2 linked regions of the Neodiprion lecontei genome follow. The protein of the gene in region 1 interacts with the protein of each later gene in a pairwise test. Links are inferred from orthologs where the notes say so. Each region holds a gene or a part of one and is shown on either strand. Other genes may lie near its edges. The genes, in order: apoptotic chromatin condensation inducer in the nucleus and apoptosis inhibitor 5.

The links.
Region 2: the proteins of apoptotic chromatin condensation inducer in the nucleus (region 1) and apoptosis inhibitor 5 interact in a two-hybrid assay, tested with the Drosophila melanogaster proteins (2 studies listed by BioGRID). The link is inferred for Neodiprion lecontei from reciprocal best matches to the Drosophila melanogaster genes Acn and cass.

Annotation. Positions count from the first base shown.
Region 1 is NC_060264.1:23,643,168-23,659,805, reverse strand, and holds apoptotic chromatin condensation inducer in the nucleus, read right to left. Parts: upstream 11,648-16,638; 5' UTR 11,633-11,647; coding exon 11,608-11,632; intron 11,321-11,607; coding exon 9,892-11,320; intron 8,705-9,891; coding exon 8,617-8,704; intron 7,908-8,616; coding exon 7,788-7,907; intron 7,690-7,787; coding exon 7,485-7,689; intron 7,370-7,484; coding exon 7,161-7,369; intron 7,084-7,160; coding exon 6,853-7,083; intron 6,660-6,852; coding exon 6,402-6,659; intron 6,287-6,401; coding exon 6,161-6,286; 3' UTR 4,487-6,160; downstream 1-4,486. Other genes in the region: transmembrane 9 superfamily member 2, read left to right, coding at 112-247, 445-560, 743-866, 1,146-1,288, 1,738-1,914, 2,261-2,417, 2,515-2,692, 2,804-2,963 and 4 more; THAP domain-containing protein 1-like, read left to right, coding at 14,365-14,561, 14,629-14,804, 15,008-15,105; CD109 antigen, read left to right, coding at 16,261-16,293.
Region 2 is NC_060265.1:6,380,754-6,397,377, reverse strand, and holds apoptosis inhibitor 5, read right to left. Parts: upstream 9,032-16,624; 5' UTR 8,708-9,031; coding exon 8,633-8,707; intron 8,414-8,632; coding exon 8,252-8,413; intron 6,436-8,251; coding exon 6,270-6,435; intron 6,169-6,269; coding exon 6,008-6,168; intron 5,914-6,007; coding exon 5,716-5,913; intron 5,636-5,715; coding exon 5,444-5,635; intron 5,356-5,443; coding exon 4,972-5,355; intron 4,844-4,971; coding exon 4,684-4,843; intron 4,433-4,683; coding exon 4,341-4,432; 3' UTR 2,208-4,340; downstream 1-2,207. Other genes in the region: leucine-rich repeat-containing protein 15, read left to right, coding at 877-1,899; insulin-like growth factor-binding protein complex acid labile subunit, read left to right, coding at 10,968-11,999, 13,342-14,406. UniProt on the Drosophila melanogaster protein: Antiapoptotic factor. Also known to efficiently suppress E2F1-induced apoptosis.

The sequences.
Region 1 (16,638 bases):
CAATTTTTCATCCTTTACCGTGTAACCTTTAATTTTATTTTTCATAAATCTCGATATAACTGTTCGTATCAAGTTTTCAGACTGCGTAATTCTCCAATCTTAACCTTTTAGCTCGAGTTTATGAATAATGAAACTTGCAAGCTGTTATGCACAAAGACGTACTCAGGAGGAGACGAGCAATCAGCAAAGAAGCTGCAGCTACTGAAGAAAGGCATGGCTCTGAATTACCAGCATCACTGGATTGTTGGTCCGTAGAACGCATATTTTACAATTACATCTTAGCAAATTCTTTTTGTTTTGCTATGCAGGGTAATTATACCTTGGTTGTAACGATATTGCACCCACAATGGTCTGTTGATAAGATATTCACAACAATCACCCATAGAATGTGATTAAGAATTTCCACACGACCCAAATTCACTTCCAGCTCACTTCCTGTTTCAGATAACATGCCTGTTACGTGGTGTTACCCACTAGAAAGCTCGCGCCAATACTGCAGTACTGGATTCCCCATGGGCTGCCTATCCAAAGAAGTTCGCTCTCCAACAGACATGTGTAATGTGAGTAAAAATATCAAGGAAGACGCTAACATTTCACATACCTATATCACTAAACACGTTATTGTGCCAGAATAAAGGAATGAATAGAAATTACGTTCACTACCTTCCTTGTATGATCTAACATATTTGAGGACAATTAACAGTCATATGTTTGCAACTTGACAATTTTTTTAATTCTACAGATTGGCTACAACCAACCGAATACGTACTACCTGTTCAATCACGTTGACTTGACCATAACGTATCACAGCGGTGACAAAGAAGAGTGGGGATCAGGATATCGTCAGAAAGTAGGGCGAATAATATGTAAGTTTCTTCAGAAAAACGATTCTCGTGAATTCAACCTTTTAAAAAATATATAGTGCACCTAGCATTTTCGGTTAATAACAAGTTTTATCTCAAAGTCTGATCTACCGATATTGTTAGCAATAAAAATTGACAAACAATTCGGAATAATTGATTAAAGCCTAAAAAAATTGCATTGGCAGGAATGGCAAATGTCCACTTTTGGCATGGTAGCTTGACGAAGATTAGCAATCTGCGAATACTTACCAAAAGGTAACTTTATGCGCTTGCGTGTTATAGCTGTCAAGGTGGAGCCCCGCAGCATAAATCACAATCCGTCTTTGCCTGACTGCGATAGCAGAAGTCCATTGGCAATAAAAAGAGAAGACTTGAGCCCTTCGGAAAAACTTGACGTGCTTTACACATACCGCATTACGTACTTGGTGAGCTGAACAAAGAACAAGCCCTATTCAACTATGATTTTCAACTATTTCCACACTTCCAAGTGATGTTCTATGCTAAGGTTTTGGCATTATTAATACAATCGAATGAATGACTCGTGACCGTTACCCGCTACCTTCACTGTAAAATACTTTTCCTATAGATTTGCAATCTCTGAGATAAACAAATGAGTCAATTATTTCAATTAGATTTATAGTATTATTATTTATTTCTTTTATTTAGATATATTATAAGTACGAATTTATAGAATAGTCTGATTGCGAACAAGCCTAGTTTTGGGCTTCTGCGACACACATAAAGTGTTTGAAAATCACATAAGCTACATGTACTGTCATGGCTAGAGCTAAAAGAATTTTTGTAATTGCTACAATTATGGAAAAATCTTCCTGTATCTGTGCATCTAATAAATAAAATTCAATTCAATTTTCAGAAAAATAACACAATCAAATGGTCATCGAGATGGGATTATATTCTCGAGTCAATGCCACAAACAAACATCCAGTGGTTTAGTATCCTAAATTCGCTAGTGATTGTTCTCTTTTTGTCTGGGATGGTAGCTATGATTATGCTACGCACGCTGAATAAAGATATTGCTCGATATAACCAGGTATGTTTGCAAATTACTTATTTCATTGCACATTTGTTGCACAGGTTTTTTACAAAGCACCTATCGAGTCAAATTTAGGATTTGTTGCCTGACAAATTTCAAAATTGAAGTCCTACCTACCGTTTGACCAAGATATTCATCTGGATATTCAATATTAGTCTTATTTTGGTTTGGAAGGTAACGGAAGACAGCATGTAAATGCGAATTAATATTGTATGTGCAAGATTCCCTTCATCACATCGTCCAAAAAACTTGATCTAAAAATGTAAAAAGAAATATATGGGTTCCAGCCATATTATTCGTTATGAAATAGTGATTATGCAATGTCTGTGTTGTGATAACGCAGGCCTACTTTCAGATAGAGTCGGGAGAGGACGCGCAGGAGGAATTTGGATGGAAGTTGGTACACGGTGATGTGTTTCGCCCTCCGCGGAAAGGGATGCTGCTGTCGGTACTTCTCGGCTCTGGCATTCAGGTTTTCTTTATGGCACTGATTACTTTAGGTAGGTCGAAACTTGAGTCTTGGTTAAGAGCAGAAAGCCATAATAGGATAATATTGGAACTAAACAGTAATTACTCAATATTGCTCGTTCTCTCAAGCATTTGCTTGTCTTGGCTTCCTTTCACCGGCAAATCGTGGTGCCCTAATGACTTGCGCCATGGTTCTATATGTGTGCCTCGGCACCCCAGCTGGATATGTCTCAGCTCGTGTATATAAGAGTTTTGGCGGAGAAAAGTGGAAGTCGAACGTTCTCCTAACTTCTATGCTTAGCCCTGGGTAAGTTGCAGATAGATGCAAGCATTTTTTTAGAACCTAACTGTTTGCAGTCAGCATCTGCTGAAAAAAAAATACCAATGTTATTATTAATACGATTTAACTGTATTCCAGCATTGTCTTCAGTTTGTTCTTTGTAATGAACTTGATATTCTGGATGAACGACAGCTCCGCAGCTGTACCTTTCAGCACACTTGTCGCCCTGTTGGCATTGTGGTTCGGTGTGTCTGTTCCTCTTACGTTCGTTGGATCATATTTTGGCTTTAGGAAAAGGGTTAGTAGTGTTATCATTGTTACTTTCTCTGGTGTTGTTTCCATCATTGTCTTCACAGTCATTGTTATTTCCTTCCGCCTTGATTCACAACGTAAATTCTTCAGATCGAGTAACGGTCTTCTTTAATTTTCATCCCCGCAGCCTCTCGAACATCCTGTAAGGACCAACCAGATCCCACGGCAGATTCCGGAACAAAGTTTCTACACACAAGCTGTTCCTGGAGTTGTGATGGGAGGAGTCTTGCCCTTTGGATGCATATTCATTCAGCTCTTCTTTCTGTTAAATTCCCTATGGTAAATGAGACGTTTGCAAACCAACATAGTTATCAATCCAAGTAAGATATTTTATTTCATGCTTTATGTATACACATTCCGTTTCCAGGTCAAGTCAGGTGTACTACATGTTCGGATTCTTGTTCCTGGTATTTCTCATTCTTGTCATAACATGTTCAGAGACAACAATTCTTCTTTGCTACTTCCATCTTTGCGCAGAGGTAAATTCAAGCATTACTTTGGCAATGCACTTACTATTTACAGTAATATCCCTAAATGAATATCACATATTCTGCATCCTAGGATTACCACTGGTGGTGGCGGAGCTTCTTGACATCAGGTTTCACCGCGTTCTATCTTCTAGTTTACTGTATCCACTACTTTGTCACAAAACTTAATATTGAAGACGCAACATCGACGTTCCTGTATTTCGGATACACCCTTATTATGGTGTTCTTATTTTTCTTACTCACAGGTAAGTCGAGGCGAGGATACGTCAAGTCTTTAATGGTTCTGCGTCATCGTGAAAGATTGCCAAAATCCATGTTGCATATTTATTTCAGGTTCCATTGGATTCTTTGCCTGCTTCTGGTTCGTGCGTAAAATCTACAGCGTAGTGAAAGTTGATTAGTGCAAGGCTTGTTACAACTCTATCAAGTCCCGAAGAGTACCCTACTTCTCGGTGGCTGTTGTGAGAAATTGAAGAAAATTAATAATTCATTGCCTATAATAATGGCACGAAACTACTCGAGTATATCGGTCCGGTAACGTCCAAGGACACACCAACTTTCGAGAGTTTGAAAAGAAAAATAGTTGAATGTGTACCAAGGATGCAAAATAGATCTTTTTACGCAAAGTCCAAGTTTGCAATATGAGTCGTATGCGAGCGCTTGCGCAAGCCAAAGACGAATATTAGAAATAAGCGAGGCAAATACTGCTTCCATGGTGCACAAGATACTTTATGTAACAAAAGTACGGTTTATAAGTGTGGTTTTTTTTTTTTAATCTTTTTTCTTTCAAACACTTTTAAGTACTACGACGTAAGGGGCAAAAAAAGACGGGTAAACCATACCGTGTTACATAAATTATGTTATTGGTAACAATAACAATAACGATAAGGATAATATAGTTCACTTAATGTTAAGTGTGCATCTTATAAGCGTGTATATATACATATATGAAGATTAATATTCATATGTATGAGTAATTTGTACAAATCGGTCATTATGTTAGGGATTTTTTCCAATTACCTACTTTTAGCTTTCGTTTATGCTGTATCAAAGACTTTCGAAATAGCAGTTTTTGAGATCGACAGTTTTGTATGAATACAAACCCTGTTGTGACTGAAGATAGGGATCACCCAGTAACATTGAATAAAGAGCCTGCCGACAATTCGTCAATATCATTTTCTGGTATCGAGGAATATAACATTGTGCGTTGATAGAATGTAACATCATGGGGGGGGGGACGAATTCCAAGCATTTTTGGAGTGCCAAAAATTATTTACAAATAACTACTGCACTATCAAACAGAATACTTGCCACTGTCATTGAATCAAACCCAGGCAGTGAACAATAGTGCCCCCCTGCAATAGATTACCGGCATACCTTGTTTGCATATACCTGGGACAGTTGAATAAATCTGGGCATTCTCTGTGAATTATTAACTATGAAGACCGAAAAGAAACAACAACAAATGTCAAATCTTCTGTAAATTGTAGTCGTTGTTGTTATTATTATTATTATTATTTGTGTTATAAAGAGCGCGTATAGAGATTGTATTTTGAGGTCTCTTACTTTTATTGATGAATAATTTTACATGCCACATTTTGGGATATATCAAGTATAATATATACATGTGATTCCGCAAGGCGGGGCGGCAATACGTGCCGTATGTTGTTACACTTGCGCATAAATCGCCGGCGAATAACAGCTGCTACCTGATTCATGGCAGGTGTGAATTTATTGAAATAACACATTATTCGTCACGTTTCGAAGTTCGCCGACATTTAACGGTGTCACACCGATTGCGCGTTATATTTGTCCAAACGTGCCAATGTCGGCTAACGAAAATTACTATGTATTGTACGTAATACACATTGTTCAAAATTTCCATCGGAAGTAAAAGTTGTTCGTTCTTTGCATGTATTTCGAGTTGTTGGAACTAGCATTACGCGGGTGGCGGCGCATGACTGAAGCGCAGTATTGGTTGTGTTACACACCCCCATGTTCGAGTGTCGATCGACCAATGCCGGTACGTCTCTCGATTTTCCTTTTATATCCATTTCAATGTCTTTGTTTTTCCTATTCCCACGACGCGGCGCACCCGGACCGGGGGCAAATTATTACCAAGGCCAAAGCCTGATAGTGATATCGATGCTATTAGTCGAAATAATACCATGTCTCTTGCCGGCGACAGTCCCCTTACGGTACAGTTATCAAAGTACAATATCACTATCTCTACTGCCTTTGGTGAACGGTTATGAACAGACGTAGACCTGTAAGAAATACGGTTTAATGCTGAAATTGAGGAATGGACTGGAGAGATGGGACACGATTCGTGCGTCGGTCGTACGGGAATTACAAGTTAGTTTATGCACCAAAAGTCTGCAACCCGGTGAAAGTCTTGGAACGATTTGCTCGTCAATCACAACTGAGATACGGTAACGAGTAAGAAGCATGTTTATTGAAAAAAGTCGAAGGAAAGGCTGGGGAAAAAAGTGGGGTTGAGAAATAGAGGAAAGAGATGGTTAATTGGTCTCTTGCGTGCAACGATCGTCTCGTGGAATAGGTAAGTCATTGGATTGATTTCTATACAGACTCTAGCTTCTAAGACCTGAACGTCGGTCGCGTGTTGTTGTCTAGTCGTAAATGTAATCTTGAGTTGCTCGGGGAGGATACAACTGTTGGATAAAACCAACAGAGTTTATTTTCTGGGGCTGCGCCGGCGACGTGCGGCAGGGTCTCTGCTTCTCTCCGCGCGCTTCATCTCCTCAAGTCTACGCGCGTGTTCGGCCATATGCTGCCGACGCATCTCTTCCTTTACCACAATCTGAAATTCGATCATAGGTATTATAGGCACGAATAACAAACGGTTCATTGTCATGCGTTTCTCCATGAAAGAATAAGAAACCTGTACAGGTGTGGTAACATCACCTCTCCTTTACCTGTTCATTTGTAAGTGGCAGCCAGTATATGCATGGAATGGCCTTAGTTTTTTTAAACAAATCGTCGAGGAGTTTGGCTGGCGGTGGGTCGTCCTCTTTTTTCTTGAATTTCCGAGCAGGTGGAGGTAGGTGAGGCTCTATCGGTGGGCTGCGACTTCTTTGCCTTCTTTTCTTCTCCAAATCCTTTTTTCCCCGTTCCTTCTCTTTCATTTGATGGCCATCTTCCTTACCCAGATCCCATTCACGGACAGTATTCACCTACACGATGTGTAAATTGTTATGTTACAATGATATGAAGAAGGAAGAAAAAAAGTAGGTAGGTAATACAACGCAAGGCCGAACCAAGAAAAGAAACGACCTCAACTCGTGGGTAAAATGATATGTAGGAAAGAAAAACAGCAGTGACTCCAAAAGCATCAGTCTTTTGTGAGCAACTTGAAAAACTGGTTACCTTGACCGGTGCATTTTGCTTCTCCTCACGGGCCCAGACTTGTTGCCAGGTATCGCCACCCACCGATGGCTCTGCAGCGCGGAGGGCGGGTTGGTCTTTGAACAGTTCGCGCGCTTTCTCCACATCTTCTATAGTTGCATACTCGACTTGAAGACGTTTAGGATTTGACAATGGCCACGAAATTCCGTGCAGGGCTTGTCTGGTTTCAAATGCCTGGTCCTCGTTCGCATACTGTTGATAATTAAGATAACGGAAAAGATAAATATCGAGCTCCCCCGAAATTGAGAAGTTAAAAATTTAATACACACCACTACGTAGCATTTGGACTTAATCCCGTCTATCCAAAAGCCATTCTCTATAATGGTGCCTGTCCGAGAAAGCAGTTCCTTGATCTGGTTCAAAGTAAATGGGCGAACAAGGTTTTTTATCAGCAGTACATTTGTCGCCTTTGCCAATGACGGGCTTGGTGATTTGACGGGAGGCGCTTCTTTCAGTATTGATATCTTCCGCTTTGCACCTGTGGAATATCAAGTATATCTAAATACACGATTGAATGAAAAGGAGGGACTACAAATTTTGGATACAGGTTGTGTTTAAAATTAATTGCGTGTTAAACTGCGTCTGCGACCCACCTATGTGATTATCGTGTTTGAGATCTCCCTTTTTCGTATTTTCGTTCTTTGTCATTGCAATGTCTTCGGAAACTCTCGGCTCCGTGGCGTCGGCGCTGATCGAACGCCGTTTTTCCCGCTCTTTGCGTCGTTCCCTTGGCTCATCATCGTCTTTGGATAATCTGACTTCTGTAATCGACAGTGGCTTTGCGCCGGGTACCAAAGCCTGCGTAACGATTGGAGAGAAAATCAGACAAGCATTTTTTACGAAATTCCCGAGTGTAGACATCAATTTAGCAAATTTTAAGGAAAGATGAAACATACCTTCAAGGAATCAGTCGATACCGTAAAAGCTGGGGTTGATTCTGCTGTAACAGCAACTCCCCAGCGACGCTTGCGGGGTAAATTTTTACCATCGGCTTGTTCAGCTACGTTGTGAATTTCCTGTTGGCCAAGCATGACATATAATTAGTCAACCTATTCGTAAGTACAGTAGAACATCGATAATCCGAACCCCTGTAGTCCGAACGCTTGATAATCCGAACGCCGTTTTGGAAAAAATAAAAATAGTAATCAGAATCGCTCTCTAACTGCTACAGTAAACAGAGCATCACCGTAGTAAACATTGCATCATGTGTGTTGTTATTGAGCCTGTGTTGGTTTTTCGAATGTTCTTTGTTGAGTTTTTTGTTTTCTTTAATTTTTTTATCTTTCTGTACAGTATAATTTTTTTGTGTGTACAGTACTGTACTTTCTGTATGTGTATAGGATTGTATACTAAAAATATTACGAAATTCATGTGCAATACATTACATAAAATATAATTACCTTACTGTAGCACAGTAGTATTTCATAAAACAAACTATTTACCTTTAACAATACAACGTGCTTCTTATTTTATGGGAAATAGTATGTCAGTGTTCATTTTTTGCATGCTACTATGCCTGGAAAGCACTTTTTTTGGTAATCCGAACGATTCGATAGTCCGAACCACTCCCGGTCCCAATTAGTTCGGATTATCAATGTTCTGCTGTAGTAAGATTTCCAAAGCTTTGGAAGCATTGAGTTGTATGGCAAGACAGTGAAAGCAAAATCTCTTTGGAATCTGAAAAATACCCATCAAGAACGTTAAAACGGTACACCGCATTCTTACCTTGACTCGAAGAGACACTTCGCTTTCTCCATTTTTCTCGGCATCATCTTTTTTTATTGACTCCTCGGCTTCCATTAACCGTACAGAGCTGCAAAGTAATTGAAGCAAGAACATGTTTTAAATGTATGATCGCTTACATTGCATTTATCATTATGTCTGCAAAGGTGACATGACGACGTCAACAAAATCGAATAAAATCCACATAAAGATTTACATCTATTTTATTATGAATTTGTTGCCAAAATCCCGATTTTGTTTCAGCCGTTTCGGCAGAATGAAGGGCAATGCTAGGTGAAAAAAAATTAGCACTGCAATGGGTGGATGATAAAAAAAAAAACATGTATAGTTGCTATTTAGTTGCTGGAATGTCACGTAAATATAATTTCGAATTATTCTTTATTTCAGTAATCATACAACCAACATCTACGTTAAGCATGAGTAACTCCGAAAAACTCCACCACGCTATTTTGTTACTCACCTGCATTTAACCAAAGACCCCCTCCAATATGATAAGAAATACTAAATTATGAAAATGTCCTTTATATGTGTGATTCTACAATCAATATACACTTTTAGAATTAGTTGCTTTGAAAAACTCCACAGTTCGATTTTGTTGCTTACCTTGTTCTGGCCAAAAACCACCCCTAGTGTGATAAAAATACCAAGTTACTCGAAATGTCGATTATTTCAGCGATTACATGGGCCAATGCAGGTGAGCAACAAAATCGTGTAGTGGAGTCTTCCAGCGCAGCTAATTATAAAAGTAGAAATAGGTTTGATAATCGTTTAAATAAAGGACATTTTGCGGAATTGCGTATTTTCATCACACTAAAAGGAGTTTTTGCCCAAATGCAGGGGAATAACAAAATGATGCGGTGGAGTTTTCCAGAATAACTAATTCTTAAAGTGGATACTGGTTGTATAGTTACTGAAATAAAGGTTTAATTTGAAATTATATTTATGTGACATTCAATCAACTAAATAACAACTTACAATTAATAGACCATGTTTACTTTTTTTTTTAAATTTTTCCTCAAAGCAATGTCAACTTTATTCCAACCTGGCATTGGCTTTGATTCTGCCGAAACGGCTGAAGCAACAAAATCGCGACACAGACAATAAATTAGCAACAAAAGAGCACTAAATCTCCATACAGATTTTAGTCGATTGTATTCGGGTGGTCATGCCACATTTAGAGACGTTTTTCCATGAGATAAGTGGCTTTGAAAAAGGAGAATAAAAACAAAATAACACACAAAACAGCATTTTACTCACAAGGATCGCTTCAAATTGACTTTTGCAGGTTTATAATCAGCTGAAAGTGAATTAACTGGTACTTGGTCACAGGGTCTGCAATCGTTCGGGCTATTTCTCCTCTCCTCTATCTCTCCAGAACTTTCAGTTTTATTATCCGCTGAAACTTCTGCGCAGAAGCCAAATCTGTTCACTGGAGACGGGGATCTGCTGCTCTTGATCTTAGCTGATTCCTTCCCTGTTTCTTCTCTCTGCTGAGAATCGTTAGTCTTCTTCTCGTTGGGTTCATCCTCAGATTCAGGTGTGTCAGAGTCTGAGGACTCGTGATACTTATCACGATGCTTCCGCCGCACTGTACGCAATGACGTAAGTAGTTCAGACCTTTTAGTTTGAATCTTTGTCTCACTTGTCACCGAAGATGCAATGGGCTTGTTACAGCTATCTTCGTCAGTACTCGACTCTCTAGTTTCAGGTTCAGCGGGAGCAATTGAATCCTCTTTTTCATCAGCCTGGCTGTCATTTATCGGCACCTCGTTAAGCCGAACGACAGCCTCAGCTTCAGTTTCACCCACCTTTTCCACCTCTTCCTTGCCCTTCCTTCCCTCTGGCAAGTTTTTATCAACATCCTCGGAAGCCTGTCGCTCGACTATAGGGGCCTTTGTCTGATCTAGATCATCTCCGTTGGAGCTGGGCTCCTCCTGTTCGTTGGTATCTGCTTTTGGCGACTTCTGGACAGGACAGTTTTGGTCGTAACGAATAGCCTGGTCGGCGTTGTTGTCGGCTAGCCGATCTACGTTTTTTTTATCGTCAGACAAGGTGAAGTTGGCTGAAGTGGTTCTGGGCAGGATCTCCCTACAATGACTTACCTCTTCCTTGGAGTCCTGACCCGGGTTCGGGGAGGAGGGATCATCCTGCCGCTCCTCACCAAGGTCCCGCTTCCGTGACCTAAGCGGTTCCTCGGCGGAGTCACCTTCCTCGCCGTCACCCTCACCACTTTCATACGACTTATGAGATTTTTTCCTAGACGAAGAACTATCCGATGCTTCCGATGGATTTCGCTGCCTGCATAATTTGAGCTTCTGGATTTCACCTGGTGAGGCATCCGCCCTCGCTACCTTCCAAACCGAAGCTCCCTCCCCTCCGCCTTCCTCAAGGTTTTCCGAGGGCGGGGCACTACTGCTGCTGCTTATCTGCTTCGCCAATGACTCCTCTTCCGCTATTGCTTTCAACTCTCTGATCTTGAGCCTTGTGGCTGGCAGCGACGTCATCGATTCTGGTATGCTCTCTTGTTCCTTTGACAAATCCACCGACTTAGATTCAAATTCCTCTCTTTCTGGCGATGACGACGTCGCCCTTCTACCACGTTTCCGTGTAGATTTTCGTGTTGCCTTTTCCACCTTCTTCTCCGGAGATCCCTTGGATTTGTTCCTCTCACTTTTGCGCCTCATTTCTGAAACAACGATAACTGTCAATTCACTGGTTTGCTGAATCATGTATGATATGTTGTTAGAACCTGGTACAAATTTTTTGTCAAATTCATTGTGGAAGAGGGTTGAAAATCAAGTAACGACAATGGCAGTGTCGCTATTATTGAAAGGATTGACTTATGTAATCTCTGGCCTCAGCAGAATTTCCCGGACCTAGTTGCATTTTTAAAATAATTCAAACGGCTGCTCGGACTGGTTATGCATAATCACTGGTGGTTTTTGATTTTGGGTACTTAATACAGATATTTACCTATACCTGTTATTTCCACTGCCATGACATAGAATTGAATGCATTTGTAAACTTTTCTCATGTATTTTAGTTAGGGTACTGTCGAATAAAAGGATATATTGAATCAACGTTTTTTGTACCTACGCAGCATTAATTACCGGTTGCTGAACTTTAGGGGTACCTGCCCATTGATCAAGTGTGAGAAAATGCTGGGTAGAATTCAGTAATGTGCCTACATGTTGCGTATTTTCTCTACAAGATTTTTCATTTTCACAGGACCTGATAATCCTAGTGCTGAATAAATTTGGCAATCCAAACAGATTTTGTGGAATCAAAGAAAAAAATTATCGATGAGCATTTGCACAGTCAGATGATGGAAGTACTGCTTGCACTCAGTCTCAGGCGTTTACATTTCATTTGAGGGATTTCACTCAAAGTCAAGTGAAATATACTTGGGTCGTCGTTTCATGCGCGAATCTGATGAATAAGTTTGAAAAAGCTTTACTGCGTCCAAGCTGGGCTGTCTGGGTTGGGCTATGCAGGGGATAAAATTAAGCTAGGAAAGGCTCGGCTAAGTTAGGTTAAGTTAATTAGAGCTCGAATGAGTTGAGTTGCGATGTATGCCCAAGCACAATTCGCGCACCCAGGGGTATGTTGATTTGTGGTTACTCGACGCGACCAGAAATTTATTCAACGCGGTGTTATATCGGAGGATGATACTTACCGATGGAAAACTATGGATCGCAAAACAATTTGTTATATTTGTGCAACGTGATTAGAATCAACCCAGTCGAAAAAACGATTCGACTAGTTGTGTATTATTTGATTGTTATATAGAGAAACAAATATGTCTATGTCCGGTGACGCTATTAGCTGAAAAGTGATTATTGTCGCCGCAGATGCCGCACTCGCGCCACGAACAACCACGAACAACGACGAATCACCACGGAACCACATGAAGTAGAGAGATTAAGAGATTGAGCATATCGTTGTAAAAAATCAAACAAGGATTCGATAGTGGCGCTACGCTGGCGTAACTTGGAACTCTAGGTACTGTATTGCTCTATCGCAACTCGCAACCATTGAAAACCATTCAACAATATATACAATGCGTCGACTGAGGATTACAATGTATGTCCAATAATACCAACCTGTGCTGCAGTGACTTCGGGCACTGAACTCTAATATTAGTGGAACCACGGAGTTATTCTACTCCGTGAGTGGAACAAGTGTATGGTAGTGATGGGTGGTTGAATGTGTCAGACAGAGATAGTTGTTTGAAGTTGGTATGCACTTGTCACACACGATATGTACTGACTAACACAGACATCGGTCCACTGAGTTTCGACAGTTGATCCCAAGCATGCTTCCAGGTATGGTTATGCATAGACACGCAGAAATATTCTTCATTTTCTGTTTTTATTTATTCGATTTGTTCGAATGTAAATTGTAGCAAAAGCAGTCAAGATAGCGTATAAATTATGTAAATGTGAAAGTGTAACTCATATAATGAGTCCTAATAAACATGAATGTGCTATAATATTAAGAATAAATGACGTATATACAAATTGATTGAGAAGTTGATTACATTTTCGTATAAATATAGATTGATCTTGTGTGATAAGATCTGATTGAGAAGTTGATTACATTATTGTGCAAATAGATTGTTTCCGCTTGATTTTGGCGTTGATTTTTGGCGTTGGTTTTCGTTGATTGATGTATCTATATATCAATTAGAGAATACCACCAAAATAACGCAATCTGACAATGAACATTGAACCAAGTTACTGAACTCTGTATAACAGCTAGTAGAGCTCAGTGCACGCAACCGAAACAACGCGTAGCCATGGCGCGTAGCTACAATTCTGGCCTGACGGTCCTGACAGATAGTTGCCGGAAGTCGCCATGAGTGCGACAAGAGCTTACCAACTTCAAACACACCTATCTCTCTCTCACCGCTCGTCGCTTAATCCAAGATGGCTCACGATCAGATTCCCCCTTGGAGCATATTACTGTAAATGCTCTAAGATTCCGCCACTGAAATAGAGATATACATTTCAGTGGATTCCGCTCTCTCAGCTGTAACTGAAGATATATAAAGACGTCAAGCTCTGGCATAATAATATATTTCCTTCGGCTGCGTGGGACACGTGGGTTTTAGTGGGTCCGGGGGTAATTCTCTTGCTCTGCACTTAATTACCAACTCGTCTTATGGAATTTCAATATTAAACCGAGTTAGCATCTGAGCAGAACGCAGCAATTTTTCTCCGGCCCTTCCACTGATATATATATACACTGGATTGGATTTAAGCGTGGTGCCGTCACGCCAATTGAACGGTAGCCATTTTGTACAGATTCTTGTCACTTTAGATATATATAAATATATACGTGATATATGTATGTGTATATAATCGATTGTGTTGGAAAATTACAGTAACAATTATTGAGGTAACAATGAGTACCTGCGTTTTTTGCAAAACAAAGCAATGAAAATATTGTGGGCTATCATTTCACAAGTGAGTATACAGCGCTGATGCGTTCTGCAAATGATAACTTGCAGAGGTTATGTCAGCATACGAAGTATTTACTAATTATATTTAACGAGTATTATAACGTACGAATCGTGTCAGTAAAAATTCACAATATTTGAATTATGAACCGATCTTATTATAATTGAAATTGAAAACTCGGGTATTATTGACTCAGGGATTAAATTATAATTCGATATGTAGATTTCCCGTGAAAGATGTGTTGCGCCTTCAGCAGTGGTTAAAAGAAATGAAGAGGAAGGACTGGAAGCCAAACCGAAATAGCACATTGTGTTCGGCTCATTTTACAAATGACTGCTTTGATAGGACAGGATTCCTAATTACATTGAAAAAGAACAGTGTACCAACTATATTTGACAACCCAAAATCAGAGTGTTCATCTTGTCACCGATTAAGGGAATATGGACGTGGCTATTCATTCTTCAAGTAAGTACCGTTACTCAATGCAACATAACGTGTGAATTAATAAATTTAAACTTTGCTTGTTATGTAGGTTCCCATTGGATGAACCTGATATTATGAAGCAGTGGATCGCAAATATAAACATTGGTCCGTGGTCTCCATCAAGTGATAGCTTTCTGTGTTCCGACCACTTTGAACTCTCTTGCTTTCAGAAGAAAAGTAAAAATTATATAACTTTACGAAAAGGCAGTATCCCAACGTTATTTGGTAAGATCTGAAACTATTAATCCCTTTTAGGTCAGAGAAAACTCAGTGTGCATAAAGACACGTTGATGTGATGCACTATTGCGTCAATGTCGTCGAAGCGGTTAATTACCTACAGATTATAAAGTGCTCTGTTACAGAAAAATCGTGTGTGACACATTTCTGTGTATTTCCATTGTCGTTATTTATTAGTAACTTATCTGTAGGTGAAAACTTGCAGCAGACCGAATTTCAGGATGAATCCGATCGGCCCACCACAGTGAATGTAACCAAATTACATGAGCACCTACACATTTGTACCTGATTTGCATGCTCAGATATGTACATCTTTTTTATTTTCTTTTGATTGTGCTTGTAACTTTTTCTTCATGTGAATGGATTGTGGATTGATACTACTAATTATATTGTTGTGGTTTATCGCACGCAACTCTATAAAAATTCCTTAACGTTTGCAAGGAATGTTTTATTCTCCATATTTTTGAATAAAGTTTTTACTCACCCAATTCGATATAGTTTAATTCAAAACTTTTTTTACATGTCTTAAGCTCCACTTTGATGATCAATGGATGGTAAATGAATTCCCTAACGGTTGAATTAGTGTTATACAAATTTTTGAATAATCCGTATGAAATTCAGCCCACCATAGGATAAAAGATAATGGACGGAACCTTCTTAGAATTGAGGACTTCTTTTGAACATAAAGAAAAATCACGCTTAAATACAAGTTTTTCGTCATATTATTTAATGATCTTTTACATCATATAATTGTAAATAATAATATACCTTCGAAAAAATGATTTGTTCTTCATTTAATGTATCAAACATTATTTTACTCGTCAAAAACTTTTTTGTGTGACGAATATATCGTTAGATTTAAATAGCATATTTTACGCAGTTCAAATCTAGCGCGCATTCTGTGACAACTTTCTGTACAAGATGGCGGAAATTCAAGTGTTCAATTGGACACACGAGCTTACACGTAGAGTATACGGTAATATCCAATCCAGTGTATATATATATCAGTGGGCCCTTCAGCTCCCCTTACCATAACTTTACCCGCGAAGCAAACTCGGCAAGGTTTAAAAGACTTTATTCCTATAGGTATACATCTTGAGTCAATTCCTACTAAAAATTCACCTTGATGAAGACTGGAAACTCACCTAAACCCCTTACAATCAATGGGGTGGCAACACTGCAGAGCCCTTTGAGCATTTAAGTTACGTGACGATCAGTGGGATGGTAGCGTAGTGGCAGGTCCCACAGCAAGCATATGCAGTACAGTACAGGCAGTGACTGACACCCACGCAAAGTCTGTGCAGGCAACCTTCGTATGCAAGGTGAAATGATGAAATCACCGAACGAAATGCATTTTTTCTCTTCAGTTAGAGAGTTCTTGAATTGCAACCACGAATGTGTATTCATATCGATATCACCGAGTGGATTTTACCAATTGTTGAATATGCGATGTCTGTGTGGGCACGTGTTGAGCAAGGTGAATCAAAGAAATAGAAAACACGCATCTGACTACACGATTAAAGAATAGGAGATAGATGAGAAACATGGGCGGCTCAATTTATAGGCGGCCATTGCGCGGCTCATTGCAGTCCTGCTTTTTGGAGCGTCATAATTTGTAGGATATAGTCCTTTTTACGACTGAGGATAATAAGCTGGTTATTTAATCATTATGAATTAGGAGTTGCAATACATGAACCTGCATAAGCAACAGCGGCCGAATGTCCGGGAATAATTGCGATTTTCCCAAACGCACAGTTATGTCGTACCACTTGCATAAAACTTCAATTGTATTACACCGTACTTCAATATGCGTAATCGTAAC
Region 2 (16,624 bases), on another chromosome or scaffold:
TCGTTTTATACATAATATAATTAATATTTTAAATATTATTTATTACTGTGCTGGACAGCGATTAAAATTAAAATACTCTGAATACGGGCGCATGGCTCTGCGATTTACTGTACTTATCATTTGTATATTTGACTGACTTGGAAATAGTCCAGTAATCATTATTAAGAAATGAAGGATTAAAATGGAACTACGTATTCTCCAAAGAAGTGAATAAAAATGAATTTCAGTACGAAGTTGTGAAAAAATATCTCCTAGAAATACTATTATTAGGGATGTCATAACAATAAGATGAATTATTGATCATTAATCAAGGTAGATTTCATCTGAATGATGACATAGATTCACAGCGCTAAACGTAACATGGAAACCTGTAGCTGAGTGTAGAAAAACGGGACAGTTCAAAACAATTTTGAGCCGAACAGCCCCACGTTCTTGAACGGTTTCATAATGCTATGTAATGAATCAGTTGATATAAATTAGTAGATAACGATACTCAAAGAAATACTTGATCGAGACATGGGGACAAAGTATTTCGAAACATTTATTATGTAACGATTTGTAAAAAAAAAGTGTTAAAAACCTTTCTGCATCTCATAAATACCTGGAACTGTTTTTTAAAAGTAAGGAACATTCATGTATAATCATTTCTCGAAATTCCTAACGCGTCACAATTCTTTGAAATATATCTATTGCACGTTTGATTTATCTTATATTTCCAGTACATTTTACGTTAAAAATACACTTCTCCTGGTAATAAACTCCACAACAACTGAGTTCACACTGTCTGATAACAGTAGCAAAGTTCAAACGATAACTTAAAGATGAGCCAATATAAATTGTCTGCTGTTATGCAAATGAACAGTACAGAGTTTAGTCATGTTACGTTACGCGTTGCTGGTCCACGTTCTTGTGGCTCTCGTAACAGCTGAAACAGAGCAGACATGCACGAGTCACGATGGCTTTACTGTGTGTCATTTTCGAGGTGTTTTAAGTAGTGTTACACAGCAGAGGAACGAAGACAGATTGGAAATCAGTGATTTAAATTTGCTGTCAATCAAGCCCGGCGCCTTCAAAGACCTGACGATAACAAATTTATATTTGTATCAAGGAAACCACATCTCAATTCTACAGTCCGGAGCATTTACCGGCCTACCAAAATTGACCCGCCTCCATTTGGATAACAATGTTGTCACCCTGATTCCTAATCTATTTCAAGAACTATCTCAGCTAGAGTCATTGTCCTTGATTTATAACAAGATCAACAATATACCGGCAGGGACGTTTACCGGACTATCGAAAGTAATGTGGCTCTATCTCAACCAAAACGATATTCCGGAGATAAAGCCAAACATGTTTACTGGACTCCCACAGCTGTTGTATTTGTGGCTAGATAATAACAAAATAGCTACCGTTGCTTCAGGGTCTTTTGCAAATCTCAAGGAATTAAACCGTCTTCATTTGGACTACAACAAAATAACAGAAATAAAACCCAACACTTTCACCGGTTTAACGAAGCTTGAAACTTTATATGTTAACGATAACAGCCTAACGTCACTTCCGCAAGAGACATTTGGAAGATTGCCGGAGTTGAAGAGATTGTATGCAAATCACAACAAAATTGCAACCATCCATTCCCGTGCTTTTAAAGGCCTGAGTGATTTGAAGATCTTACATCTTGAGCACAACGAAATTTCTGAGATTCAGCCCGCTGCATTTGAGGGCCTCGTCTTGGTTGAAGAAATATTTTTGTCCAATAACAGAATTCACACTCTCCCAAATAATGTATTCGCTGGACTAACTCAGATCAATTTAATTTACATGGCAAATAACACTTTGACTCAAATTGATAAAACTAGTGTTCAGCTGCCAAGTTCCAGTACAGTTTATTACACTGAATAAGATACTAGCGGATACCTTGAAGATAAATTGCAAACTTGCTACAAATACGGACATGACAGAAGTTAACTTAAGACTCGAGCAGCAGCAGCGACAAATTTGTATTTCCAGAGCAACTACATTATTTCTGATATCAACTACAAGATAGAATAGACAAGATTTCAGTGATTATTTAATAGAGAAGATTCGTCAATGTTACGATAACAAAAATTTCTACCAATAGTAGCTGTCCAGGTGGTCTATTTAGTAGCAAAATATTGCACGCTTCGCCACGTGTCGTAGCTCAAAGAAACTACTTTTTTAAGAACGTAATACACACCCTACTAAATAATCTGCCAGCAAGATTGATACCTAGCTGATAAAAGTTTAACTAAAATTAATAGAAACTGCACTTGATGTCTAGATTTTAGTTTTGTTATAAGTGGTGATGCTGACAATTAGCCCTTGAAGATTGTTTGCTATACGGTTTTGTAGCTTAATTTATTGCCTTAGTTAAATGAAATAATTATTGTTTCTCCACGATGTAGTGATGGTCTATTAATGTATCATTAATCAAAATAAATGTCAATAATAAAATATGAATATAGTATGTTCTTCACCTTATTCCGTAATACTATCGTCTATCACTTATTTTCAACTCAATTTTTCTTGTAAATGGAAAAAGTAAAAAAGTGAAATAACAGTTATTGATGAATAATAAAAATCGTTTTTATTAGGATAATAATAAAGATATATTCACAAAACTACAGATAACATGAAACTTTTCATTTGATAATGGGATAGGGAAGCAGGGCGATGAAGAATTGCAATTATTGACTCACCTTATTCAACAGCTACCATCATATACAACACATATCAAACTACCTAAACATTATATTCCTGGGACTCGTTTACCTGAAAGAATGAATTTCATTAGTTTATAGCTTCTGATACCACTGAAAGGAACCCGGGCTGCAGGCACCTGAAACAGATAAATTTAGCAATTTCTCTTTCTTCTCTCGCAGCGCAGCTTACCCTCGTTTGCAGTTTCGTTTTGGTACCTGAAACCTCAATGAAAATAAATCATGAGATGACAGCAGCCAAAGAAATACTTGGTTACATATAACCAAAACTGAATCATCCAGACATTCAATCAGCAAGTAGTGAAAAAATTGAATCAGCGGTCGTTAAAGATCAGTACAATAAAAGGTAATGTGATAGAAAATTGAACATGAAGAGAAAATATTTTATACCGTTTATTAAAAGAAAAAAATAATAAAAATAAATATTCAAACGTAATATGGTATAACAATTTCGTCGAAAAAATTCAAAACACGAATACGAGTATATGTAATGAGCAGAAGTGTAATTTATAGGAAAGCAGAGAGTATTTATCGATTCAAGTATGTCTTTGGCTATAAAAAATCCTCCAACTTGTGGCTGCAGCTTTCTTGACTTTCCGCAACTGTAAAAACCCAACTACTAATGAAGGGAGAAAAGGATAGGGATCAAAATTCTACAAAGGGAAAGGCAGGGTGGAAATCATTGTAAGTTGCAGAACATAAGTTTGACATAGATTGCTGATTGATGAGCGAATTAAAATCCTCCAGCAGACCAGTGGCGGTTTTGCATTTGACGAGAATCGGCAGGTAGCTTATTTATGACCTCGGGAGCACGAAATTTTCAATCTGCATATCGTTACCAACAAAGGTACTAGGAGTAGAATTCTTCTTTCTTGACCTGCTGATGCCCATATGTAATCTCTCGATTCATATATTTTCTTAGCTTCTAAAAGCTTCTTGTTGCGTTCTTCATTCACCTTTGTACATAAAGTACAAAGTTGACCTCATTGTCGGTCAAATTAACTGGATATTGGCTGCTTCAATTTTGAATGTTTAACCATCGTTTAACATTACGGTCATAAAAATTAGACATCAAAATTAGAACTTTGAACACCACGAGTACCAAATATAACGAATGGGCACAAATCACGTCACTTTGATCCTTTTTTCCATCAGTATTTTTGTTTTTCCCTGATCCGAGGCATATTAATTAAGATGAATCAATACCTGACTGGACATGGATTTGCAAACAAAATTAACCACTTTGAGTGCAAAACACAACAGATCGACACAAACTGTTTCGGTTTTTATGTCTCGATCAACTTCTTGAGTCTTTCCTTCATTTGTAGTATGTCAATTCAGATAAGATTGACACTTGAAAACACTCCAACACATTAATACGTTAAAGCTGCCACATCGTACACCAACTCGTGGTAGTAATGGTACAGCTTCTTTTTTACAAATAATCTTCATTCGCATATGCTTCTCACATCGCATTTTTGACTCCTCAAAATCCTTTAGGCGAATTTTATAGCTCGTAATTTGTTTTAGTCTTTGCATGAATATTTTCCACACCTCGTACGGACTCATTGCTTATTTTACGTCATTTGCATAGGATCAAATTTAGTAAGCACTCCTTCGCCATCCGCGACCACGTGCTCTGTATCCTCCACCACGTCCGCCAGATCGATTTCCCCTGAATCTTCCGCGATTTCCTGATAAGCAGACCGTATAAAATTAGGTAACAAGTTTACAACACGTTATTCTAGGTAAAATAACTAGAATTTATGATAATACTTTTCCAGTAACTCCAAAGTTTCCTGACCTCTTAAGGCATTCACGATTTTGAGTTTTTTCACACTTTTCAACACAATTGGTGAACAACATTTCCAACCACTGTCACGTTTGGCTACATTTTTCAATCAAACGACATCAGAAAGTACATCAATTCTTTGAACATACTCACCATAATTTGAAGAAATGTTAGAGCTGTATTTGCCACTGGGAGGTGTGTAAATTTCTCGTTTGTTTCCTTTATTGTCGTCTTTGCTCCGTTTGTTCGGTGCATTATCGTTACCAAATGTAATCGGTGTGTGTCTCTTTTGTCCCGGTGATGCTTTATCAGTCTGAAATGAGATCGAAAATTAAATTAACGATTTTGCGGTTTGTTTTAATTTTGGATTTGTAATTATGTCATCATACAGAAGTAGTAACTAATTTGTTAGATCACAGATTATAGGTTTATGTTTCTTACCTTTTTGTCAGTTGTAGAGGGTTTCCATGAAAGATGTATAATGCTTTTGTAGCTCGGTGGTGAATGAAATAGGTCTTTGATTAAAGTGTTGATATTGTTGGTTGTTTTAAGTGCAACAACTTTCATTTGATTTTCGTCAGATTTCAACTGTTCTTCACTTTTTCCACTTATAGCTTCTCTGAGCTTCTTTATGTAACCCTGTATCCCCCTTGCAAAATATTGTAACCTCAGTCTGAACTCTTTCAGTTGATCCGCATCACGGGTCAAAAATTCTGGGACTTGCTTGCCAAGTTTGTGAAAAGTATACATCAGACACTCAACGTGGCTAAATTGGAGCTTTGGTAGCTCCGGCAAATCGGTTTCTGGAGGTAGAGGCATGTACGTCTGTTGGTAACATACATAAGTCATAAATAAGAAGCACCCAATATTTTCAGAGTATTCACATCATCATATTTGTTAGTAAAATACTTACAACAAGGGCATTGTATATCTGCTGTACTTTCTCTTCAGGTTTCTCGATCGTTCCACAGTAAGTAGTTAGTTCAGCAAGAAGTTTTAAAAGTTCCAATTGTGGATCTCTGCCTTCAGGTCCCGTGATTAAAGACAAATGGGGTAAGACTTGAACGCATATGTAACAAACAAATCTGGACGAGTCAACTTGCGACTGAAAACAGATAACAGTATAGTTATAGCTAGCAATTGAAATGACATTGATGTCTGATAAACAACAAGAGCTTCACACACATTGAAAAATGGTAGGGCATGTTTAATGCATTGCACAAGTCGACTCCACTGTTCTTCGTTGGTGTGCTTAAAGGGAATTGAAAGCTCAGCTTGTTCAACAATAATATCAATCAACTCCTGTTGTCCAGTAACTGTAGATCCCAGTCTGGTCCATGCGAGTACTTCCATAATGGAGTGAAATTCATCAGCTGTGACATCCTGCGGAAAATTGATATTCAATTGCAATAAAATTTACTGGAAAACCCCAAAGAAAAAAAGAGATATTGTAAAAGGAAAGAACTGAATTTTTCACCTGTAATACTTTCTTGCACTCAACAATCAGCAAATCTTCTGGTTCTTTAGTTATGATATCATGGCCAACAGCCTTTAGTTTGGTAGCTAAAAATTTGATGCAACGTTCTCGAGCTCCATCATCGCCGTTCAGAATCTGACTGAAAAATCCACTGATAGCACCTGTAGATGTGAACAATGCCTTAGTTAAAAATCGAAACTTAGCATGTCGAATGTATTTCTCTCTTTGCCTATGAACTTGAAGTATTTGGTGGTACACTTACCTTTAGGATCATTTTTTATTAGCGACATAATACTGTTTTGAACCACAGCCAATTCTGATGGATCTTGCGCTAATAACAATTGCGCCAATATATCAGCAATCCGCGCTGTATGTTCTTTGTTCTCTTTGCACAATGACGGCAGGTCTTTAATCGCTTGCTTCCTAATCTGTAAAGTCGACACGATTGTGATGGATCTTTACGCGAAGGTAAACTTGAAAATTGTAGAGAAATATTGAAAGATCTATATTCAATCTTACTGACAATGTTTTAATTACAAAATCCATCGGTACGAAGTGATAAAGGAGAGATGGTAAAACAGTAATGTTGGGAAAACTGAATCGTTATTAAACATAAACAGAATCGATTTGTCATTGATTACAACTAATTTTTATAAGTCATCTTTTGGGAGCTTTTGGACTAACTCTGATGCTGCCACCAAAAATATCGGTACGTATGATCAATAATTATTGATCGTCAATGGCAACGTCATTGTATCTGTACAATTGCTATAGCCAATTTCAATTGAGCCTGATGCTATTTTGGCATCTTCAAAAGCTTTAATAAATGGATAAGCCTGTAGATTTCACTAACTGCTGAAATTCCTTACACATCATAATACCTTGAAATATTGTTATTGTTTATGCAGTGTATTTTGATTTTCTAGAATGAGACATGTTTCACGTAAGCCATGTTGGCCTCATTATGTTTTTGTTGTTTTTGTCATAAAAGTGACAAAGTTCAGGATCAGTGCAGATATACCATCAGATTATTAAGAAAAGTGATTGTGCCAGAGCCAATTTCATGATGCTTCACTGCAGTAATCAGTAGTAAACAACATCTAAGAGATGAAAAGACTTTCATGAATTTGACTTTCACAGTCCACATCAACGTAATATAACAATGAAACACAAAATAGCCAAACAGCTACGAATTTCGTAAATAAATTTTCTGGTAACAGACTTGTATCAGTTTTAAGTCTGTTGTAAGATATATGGTTACCACATCTTTCTTCAAAATTATATCCATACCCAACTGCGATGCAGATGGGATTACTTTTGGGTTCAAACTCGTTGATTACATGTATTTACATATCACTACTTTCAATATCAAAAACAGGGAATGGTGAGAGGAATTTGTTTTAAAGAGGATAAACGGTTTAATATATAATATACAATGAAACGAGTTTATTGTTCATGATCAAGTTGAAGAGTATGAATTCAATTTGGGCAAAAGAGATTTAATGACTTCAACGATAATTATTGGAAGGCAGATTTGGACGGAGGAACTAAACTTGACTTGTTGAATGTAGCAGCAGAAGTGTTTGCTTGATAAAAAATTGAATGGAAATGCACTTCATGAAAGATGAAATAAAAATCATTCAGACAATAGGTGTGAATCCATAGGGATAGATGCAGAAATTCACGATAATTGGAGAACATGTGCATCTGAATAAGTGCAATCCCGACTGGTTAGAGCAATTAGAGTCTAAATGAATATGGAGAAATATAGACAGGAAGGAGGCTGTAAGGATTACAATAAGGAATGGGAAATATTATTAATAAGCGATAGGCGATAGTTAATCAGAACAAGACTGGGGGAACATCTGGCTGACAAACAAAAACCAACATATACACTGTTTAAGTTAAATAAATTCCGTAGCTGTATATGCATATGGTTTTTTGATTGTTTAATCAATACGTGTAACTTTCGCTTCAGGTGCAACAGTTGAATTACCAACGGAAATACAAATAGTCAGAGTGAGGCGCGATACTAAAAAAATATTTGCGCACATTGTTTGTTCTCCATAAATGTACAAAACAAAGTTACACATTACAACTGTACAACTACGCTGACTAAATAAAATGAATAGTTGATTGAGGTTTACATAATTATCATATGTGGTTTCGTTAGTGATGGGAAATGAAATGTATATTTTACAGAATAGGTAACATGGTAATCGTTACTGCTAACAAGGTACTTACAGCAATGTCTTCATCTTCGCAGAGATCAAGATGAGCATCGATTGCCTGATCTGCGAGTTTAGGGAAGTGTTTGAAAAATCTGGCGATGAATTGCGAAGCAAGGCGCTTTTCTTTCGTCGTTCCCTTCACCGCGGTGAGAATTTCCATGTACTCCTTTTCATGCTAGAAATTTATTAAAATAACGTAAATTAATTTTACACAGAGGGAACTATGAGAAAGGTTTTGCAAGTCACCAATAATCTGTATAATTTCAATTTTGCGAGCTAATTGGATCTTCAACATTTCGTATCCAGATAGCAAGAATAATTCAGCAAAAATAATGTGAATCAAGACGTGAAATTCGAGGGAAGTATAACCAAGCCAACGGTAGAAATTACGAACCTCGGCTAATTTATCCTTGGCGTCAGCTAGTATGCCAAAATTTTTATACAACTTCTCAATGCTGTCGGTACTCATCGTAACGGGTGAGTAAAATCCTTTCAATCTGATGAAATAAAACTTGACCAGATTCGTGGGACTATAAATTACACCGTAAATTCGTCCACGTCCAACCGGTTTAACGCCACGCCAAGAATGAACTCAACTCACACCAATGGCCGCCAGGCGACAACAACTGGGTGAAAATTGAGAAGGTAAACTCAACATACGTGACGACCCGAAACAATTTCCGGCGGAAATGCGTACGCTTGACGTTAAGAGGAGGCTACCGGGGTTGACCGAAGATATACGAAGACTGCTAGCCTTATGAGAATTTTCGTAATCGAAAGTGGACTAGATAAATTTCACCGTCAAGCTGAGTCCTCCCCTCCGCGCGCAACTCAATCCGGCAATCGGTCGGTAAGTAGAGGCGACAAGAACCGGTATTACCATCGCTCACCGCGTGTACCCAGATAATGCAGAGTCGAATATTATTATGGAAACGGAACGACGAACGGGCACAGACTGAAATCTTCATACAACCTCGTAAGGACGCCGTATACTTTCCAACTATGCAAATTCATTTCAACCAAATTCATCAGTCAACGATGGGAGTAGCCTCGCGTGTGCAGAAAGTGTGGCAGAAAAGTGAGGTGGAGCACTTATGCCATGTACTTATGCTCGTACTCGTACTCCCTCTGCTCTACAACTTAATTGGCTGGTCGATACGTTTCCTCTCAGCCAATCAAGGGCAGGGTGACAGAGACGGAGTATCCTGGCTGACCCGAGGATATATATCTCGCTCTCTCGTCACTACGGTCACAGATTTCGCGAGGTTGAAGGTACGGGTAGCTGCTAACTCCAGTAGTACATTTTGGAAGGCTTAATTGGCAAAGTGCTAGTCGGTAATCGTGTCAATTTGACAGTGTTTGTCGGCTAGGGAAAACGTTGGTAAGCGCTTTGTCGGTAACTCTAGATATTCTATATCTTTGTTTAGAATTGGAAATGTAAACGAACAAGGAACTGATATCGGTATATCAGTTGACTATGCCAAAATCGCGGGATGCATCTTGTCGGTTACTTGCTGCTCTATTTTTTTAATTTTTATCCGTAGAATGGTTCTGAACGATCCTGTAAACTTATATTTAATTTCGTGCGATTCACGTGATTGGGTCTTCAGTAATTTTAAAACGTCTAATGAAATTTCAAATTCTTTCAGCTCGTTTTCAGCCATTCCAAATGATTTCAAGTATTATTGCCTTAACAAGGAGTACAGGCTTAAATCAATGGCAATATCCAGTATATCAAAAATTTTAGATTTGAATAGTCCCTGGGTTACGACTCGATGAAGGAAAATTAAAATACGTTATCAATCAAGTTCTAGAAATTAAAATTATCTAAAATAGTAAAAAAGTTTTTTGGCTTCTCATCACAAAGCTGAAACGTACCATTTCAAATGGCAGATGAAATTCAAATTGTAATATTATGATACTGATCGCAACTGAATCTTGATTACATTCCGGTGATTACTGTGAAAGTAAATCATGCTGCCAAACAAATATATCGAGGATAAATAGTGAATCCTCCCAAAATTTTAATCAGTGAAAATAAACTTTAACAATCTATTTTTTGTAATTACTGCAAAGATTGTTGCAACGTATATATTTCATGAAGTATACGATACGATTTAATCAGTGAAGTCAATTTTGTTTACGCATTAAGCAAATGATTAATTAATATTCATTGATCACGTGTTTAACTTCGACCGTAATTTCGAAAGTAGATGTTATAGGTGAAGGGTCAGAGATCTATGAGTATCGCATAAAGTGATTATACTTAACCGTATGACATGAAATGGAGTAATAACAGAATCCCAACAAATGGAGTAAGAAGTACATCCTCGATTAAAACTGTACATCAATCATCATAGTATCAAAAAAGTGGTGTTAGAATTGACCAAAAGAGTCTATAAAACTCGGCAGCAAGATTTTTTAGAGTAGTTTTGGGTTTTCGGGATTTGTTGATTGGAATATCTACTACGGTTGTCACAGGCCAGTCCGATTACTTGCCAATCAAAAAGATTCGTCTTCTGTAAAAGAGTCGAGTAGATACACCTTGTATGTTTCGCAAGAATTTAACTATATTTTACGTATTTAGCGGTCATCGGAATCATTATCCTCAGCGTGATCACTCGCGCGACTCTGCGCAATGTCGGTGGTAAAGTTCAAAGATATCCTTCAGATATGGTTCGACTTAAATAGTCGGAGCAGCAAGGCGAGACGTTAGAAGGAATCGCATCATGATTCGTCGTGCAGTGCTAGTGAACTTTCTTTTGGCAGTTGTGGTTGCTCAGACGCAGCCGACGTGCAAAAATGTGTTCGACTATACCGTGTGCAGTTCCGTCGAAGGTGTTTTAACCGAGGTAACGCAACGAACGCACCATAATCGTTTGGAAATATTGGATTTCAATTTGATATCGATTGAACCTGGAGCGTTTAAAAATCTCTCGCTAGTAACTCTACACCTGTTTGCCGGAAATCGAATTTCGAATTTGCAACCAGGCGCGTTCTCGGGCCTGCCGATGCTGAAAGACCTGCGCCTTGGAAACAACGCCGTTACGCTGATTCCCAACTTGTTTCAAGAATTGCCTCACTTGGAAAGGTTGTCCTTGGCCAATAACAACATTACATACATACCGGAGGGGACTTTTAACGGATTATCAGAATTGGTACAGTTGCAACTACATCAGAATCTGATTGCGACGATTAATCGAACAACATTTTCTGGTCTTTCGAAGATAACTTCTCTGGAGCTAGAGAGCAACAGAATAAGTACCATTGCCCCGAAATCGTTTGTAAGTCTCAAGAAATTGAAAAATCTTTACTTAGATAGAAACAATATAGGAGAACTAAAAGCCGATACTCTCAAAGGTTTAACGAAACTTCGTTCTCTGCACATCAATGACAACGACATAGTAACTATTGATCAAAGGGCATTCAGAGGATTGTCTAAACTGACCTTCTTACATCTCCAACACAACAAAATATCTACAATTCGATCAGGCACTTTCATTGGTCTCAGCAGTTTGGAATCTCTGGATCTTTATAATAACGAGATTTCAGTGATAGAAGCTGGTGCGTTCGAAGGCCTCACGTCGGAGTTAAGTATCGATTTGAGTAACAATAAAATCAAAACCCTACCGAATGGCTTATTCGCTGGACTCACAGACCTGGAGTCAGTTGATCTGTCCAATAACACCATAACTGCAGTTGACCCAAATGTAATTCAGTTGCCAAGTACTGCGACAATTCAGTTTTCGGTACCCACCGAATAATTGTGTGCTACTTTCCACATGAAGATTTCGTCTACTGGAATGATGAATATGAGTGAATAAAAAATTCCGCTCAATTAACAACAATGTAATATACTTTCGCACAATCTTTGAATAAATAATATTCCGTAGAATGTCTCTACTGCGTTCCAAGAATGTATAGTACTTTCCCGTTTAGATTCATGTAGTCAGCTTGCAACAGGCACACTCACGATTAGTATAAATAGTTAAGGTACGAGAATCGATTCACCAGAATTGTGTGGCCATGATTCGGTGTGCGATACTCGCGTACTTCCAATTGGCCACTGTGTTGGCTCAAACCCGACTGAAAAATGAAGGTAGGTAAGTCTACTTGGTAATATTTAAATCATTGCGTGACTGAAACGGTTCAAATGACAATATTCTATTCATTCCGATATTGTTACGAATCAAGCATCACATAGATTACATTTTTCGCCTAATCGATCAATTCCAATCGTGAATTATATCCCCGCTCTCGAACACATCGCCCAATTCTCAACACACCCCTCTCCGTACAGGAAAAGCTGCCAAGTGAATTCAGCGAAAGAGAAGAGTCTGAAGTACTGTTACGCAAAGAGAAGTTTGAATGAGTTCGTTGCTAACAAGAAAACCGAAAATGATTACGGTAACAAAATTCCACAAGATTTATTTTATTGTCAAATACACTGTCAGAAAATTCACGGTGTCTATAAAAGTTAAAATCAACACCAAAATGGTGTGGATTTTTATAGAATATATTATACACGTGCGAACGATACTGAATGATCATGAATGACGAGCAAACCATCGATCATCCCGACGCAGAGATTTCTTGGATTTACGTTTACGTGAATTGTAAATCTTACGAGAGTTGTGAGTGACGGCCTGAAAGGAATGAAGTTATTCTATTACTTGTTCGAAGTTGATTGTCCGCAACATCATTTTACTCGTTAAATTCGTCGTATACTGAAGGAATTGGAACAAAAATTACTACAGTACTGTTTGCATGGTTGCTCCAGAAATTTAACATCAGGTAGAGATAGATTGACATCAAATTGAAACCGAATAATTTTTCAGAGTAGATCGCTGTTTTCGTGGATTGTTGATTGGATATCAACTACGACTATCACAGGCAGCCCCATAAGCGCGAATCTAAGAATTTAATCTTCCGTGAGGAAGTTTAGTGAATACGCCGGTTACACCCCGCGGAAACTTGATTATGTTTTACGCATTCGACAATCATCTGAAATATCATCTCCGGCGTGATCAATCGACACGTGACTCTACGTAACGACGCTGGCAAAGTTCAAGGTAGCCTTTAGATATGGTTCGACTTAAATAGTCCGAGCAGCAAAGCACGATATTAGAACAGAATCGCGTCATGATTCGTTGTGCAGTGTCGGTGAACTTCGTTCTCGCAGTTGTGCTTGCTCAGACGCAACCAACGTGCAGAAATGTGTTTGACTATACCGTGTGCAGTTCCGTCGAAGGTGTTTTAACCGAGGTAACGGAACGAACGCACCGTGATCGTTTGGAAATATTTAACTTGAATTTGACGTCGATTGATCCTGGTGCGTTTAAAAATCTCTCGCTAGTAACTCTACACTTGTCTGCCGGAAATAGAATTTCGAATTTGCAACATGGCGCGTTCTCGGGCCTACCGAACCTGAAATATCTGGACCTTGATAACAACGCGGTTACGCTGATTCCCAACTTGTTTCAAGAATTGCCTCACTTGGACAGATTGTTCTTGGCTAACAACGGGATTACCCACATATCGGAAGGGACTTTTAACGGACTATCAGGATTAATAAGGTTACAACTGCATCAGAATTTCATCGCGACGATAAATCAGATAACATTTTCCGGCCTTTCGGAGATAACTTCTCTGGGGCTAGAGGACAACGAAATAACCACCGTCGCTCCCAATTCGTTCAAAAGTCTCGAGAAATTGAAATATCTTTACTTAGACAGGAACAACATCAAAAAACTGCGAGCCGAAACTTTCAATGGTTTGACTGAACTTGATTCGTTGTCCATTTCTCACAATGACATAGTAACCGTTCATGAACGGGCATTCAGAGGATTGTCGAAACTGACCCTGTTATCCATCGACCACAACAAAATATCCACAATTCGATCGGGAACTTTTATCAGCCTAAGTAGTTTAGAATATCTGTATCTTCATAACAACGAGATTTCAGTAATAGAAGCTGACGCATTCCAAGGCCTCTCGTCGATGACTCACATCAGTTTGACTGACAATAAAATCCAAACTCTACCGAGTGGCTTATTCGCTGGACTAACGAACCTGAAGTCAGTCGTCCTGGTTAATAACACTATAACTGCAATCGACCGAGTTGTAGTTCAGTTGCCAAGATCTGCGACAATTCAATTCAGGTACTGAATAATTGCGTTCTACTTTCCACGTGAAGATTTATTCTGCGGAAATGATCGACATGAGCCAAAAAAAAATCTGATTAATTAACTACTATGTGATATGCTTTATGAAATCGTTGAATAAATTATTTTTCGCATGATGTCTCGAGTGCGTTTCAGGAACGTCTCATATTTTCCCGTTCAGTTTTCACCAAGTTAGTTTTACCGATATCATAGAAGAATCTTTCCTCTCGCTTTGAGATACAACGCATTGCGCAACCTGACAAAAATATTCATCAGTTACAACTTTACTATTTATCTAAGTATAAACGAAGCGTTCTCCAGTCAATTTCTGGAGGGCTCTGATCACAAGTAAAGATACCAACTTGAAGTTTCTCCGTCAATTAAATTTGCAATTAAAACCATCGGTTAACGAGTGTTCGCATCGATGTCATAGATCGAATCTTCTTCGTTAAAACACTTTGGACAAAGCCTAGCACTTACAGTTCAGTGATTACAAGTACAAAACAAGTGAAGCTACCGAAAACGTATTTCCTATATACGCCGGATCAATATACGGACCGTCCGTGTAATTCACACGCTTCCGAAAGATCTTCGAAACTTACGTATCGATCAATACTTCGAAGACGAGATGTAAGACCATCGGATTTAGGATACTGTTCTGTAACAGCATTGAATCTATTCAACTTGGCTCACACGATGACGGACTTTTTAGCAACGAATGGCGAGCAAAGCTGCTTACAGTATGTAATTGAAGAATAACGAAAGTTAAGTCAGTAGCTTCACACGTTTTTTCTTCTTTAATTTTACTGAAATCCAACCGCCGGCGATGTTCATACGGCATGTGGGTAAACAATATCGGTATAGTTTATCCCGAACGTAATCGGTCGCTACCATTATCCGTTTTTTTACCACTACATAACCACTTTGGTTTCCCGGCGTGTCGACCATCCTGGTGTAAGGCCTCGTATCAGGTCCCCAGAAGGCCAGGCCGCGAATCCCGTAATCCGCACAGACTTGCTCTCGTTTCGTAGTCGACAAAAAATTAACTTCATTATGCCAGTTATCCCAATCGACACGCTGATAGCCATGCACTCTCATCGTACCATCATAGACATCATCGTCGCTATCCTACAGCAGTTACTTCTTGTTTGCACGCCGTTCTAGGAGCAATACTGACAAGACACCGTCCGTCGTCTCTTCCGGCTAGCCGAATGCGATGCTGAGTAGATAGGTCGCGTCGTGTTTACAATTATTCCATTCGCACACGTCTTTTTTACTGTACCTCTGATAATTAGACCCGCCACGCACGTATCGTGATGTCTTGGATGGCAGGTGAAGTTCGACTTGTGAACCTTCGATACTGTTCGCAGCTGAATCTTGATTAATTTAGGTAATTATTATACATCGAAGTCAATTATTCGATCAAACAAATATGTTGATGATAAATAATGAATCTTCCTAAAATTTTAATCCGTGAAGATAGACTTCAACGGTCTATTTTTGCAATTACTCCAAAGATTGTAAAGACCGAAAAAAATGATTGCAACGTATATATTTCTTCGTCAAGAATGATACGACTCAATGAATCCCTCGTATTATGTTCAGGGATTACGCAAATGATTTGATAATATTCATTGGTAACGTTTTCGGTTTTTTTTCTTATCTCAAAATTAAATGTTACACTCGAAGCTAAATCCTCGATTTCCTTTTACATTGAATTTAATTCGATATCTGTTATTTATCTGCCTGCAATTTATGAAATATAAATCCTATTTCTTTCCGATCCAACTAACTAACTAACTCTATTAATCATAATAAATATACGTACACCTGATTTAAAAAAAAGAGACTCGAAGGTGACAGACAGCGATACTTAAGTACACCCTAAGCTATTCGCAAAAGAAATACTTTTTATAGAATAGAACAAGCTTGAGAACTATCGTGCTACGAGTACTGCCTACCTGCGAAAGGGGTATGAAGAACATTGAAAGGGGTATGAATCGATTTAACAGAATTAAACGGCCATGCTTCGGTGGGCGTTAGAGGCGTACTTCCCATTGGCCACACGTGCTGGCTAAAACGGGACTGAAAGGTGAAGGTAAGTGAGTCTACTCGGTAATAATATTTTAAAAGTATTCAAAGCAATCGGAAGGAAACGTTTGTAGGGTTGATTTGGACGGAATTCAACAATTTATTGCATGATATGATATTTGTTAGAGATA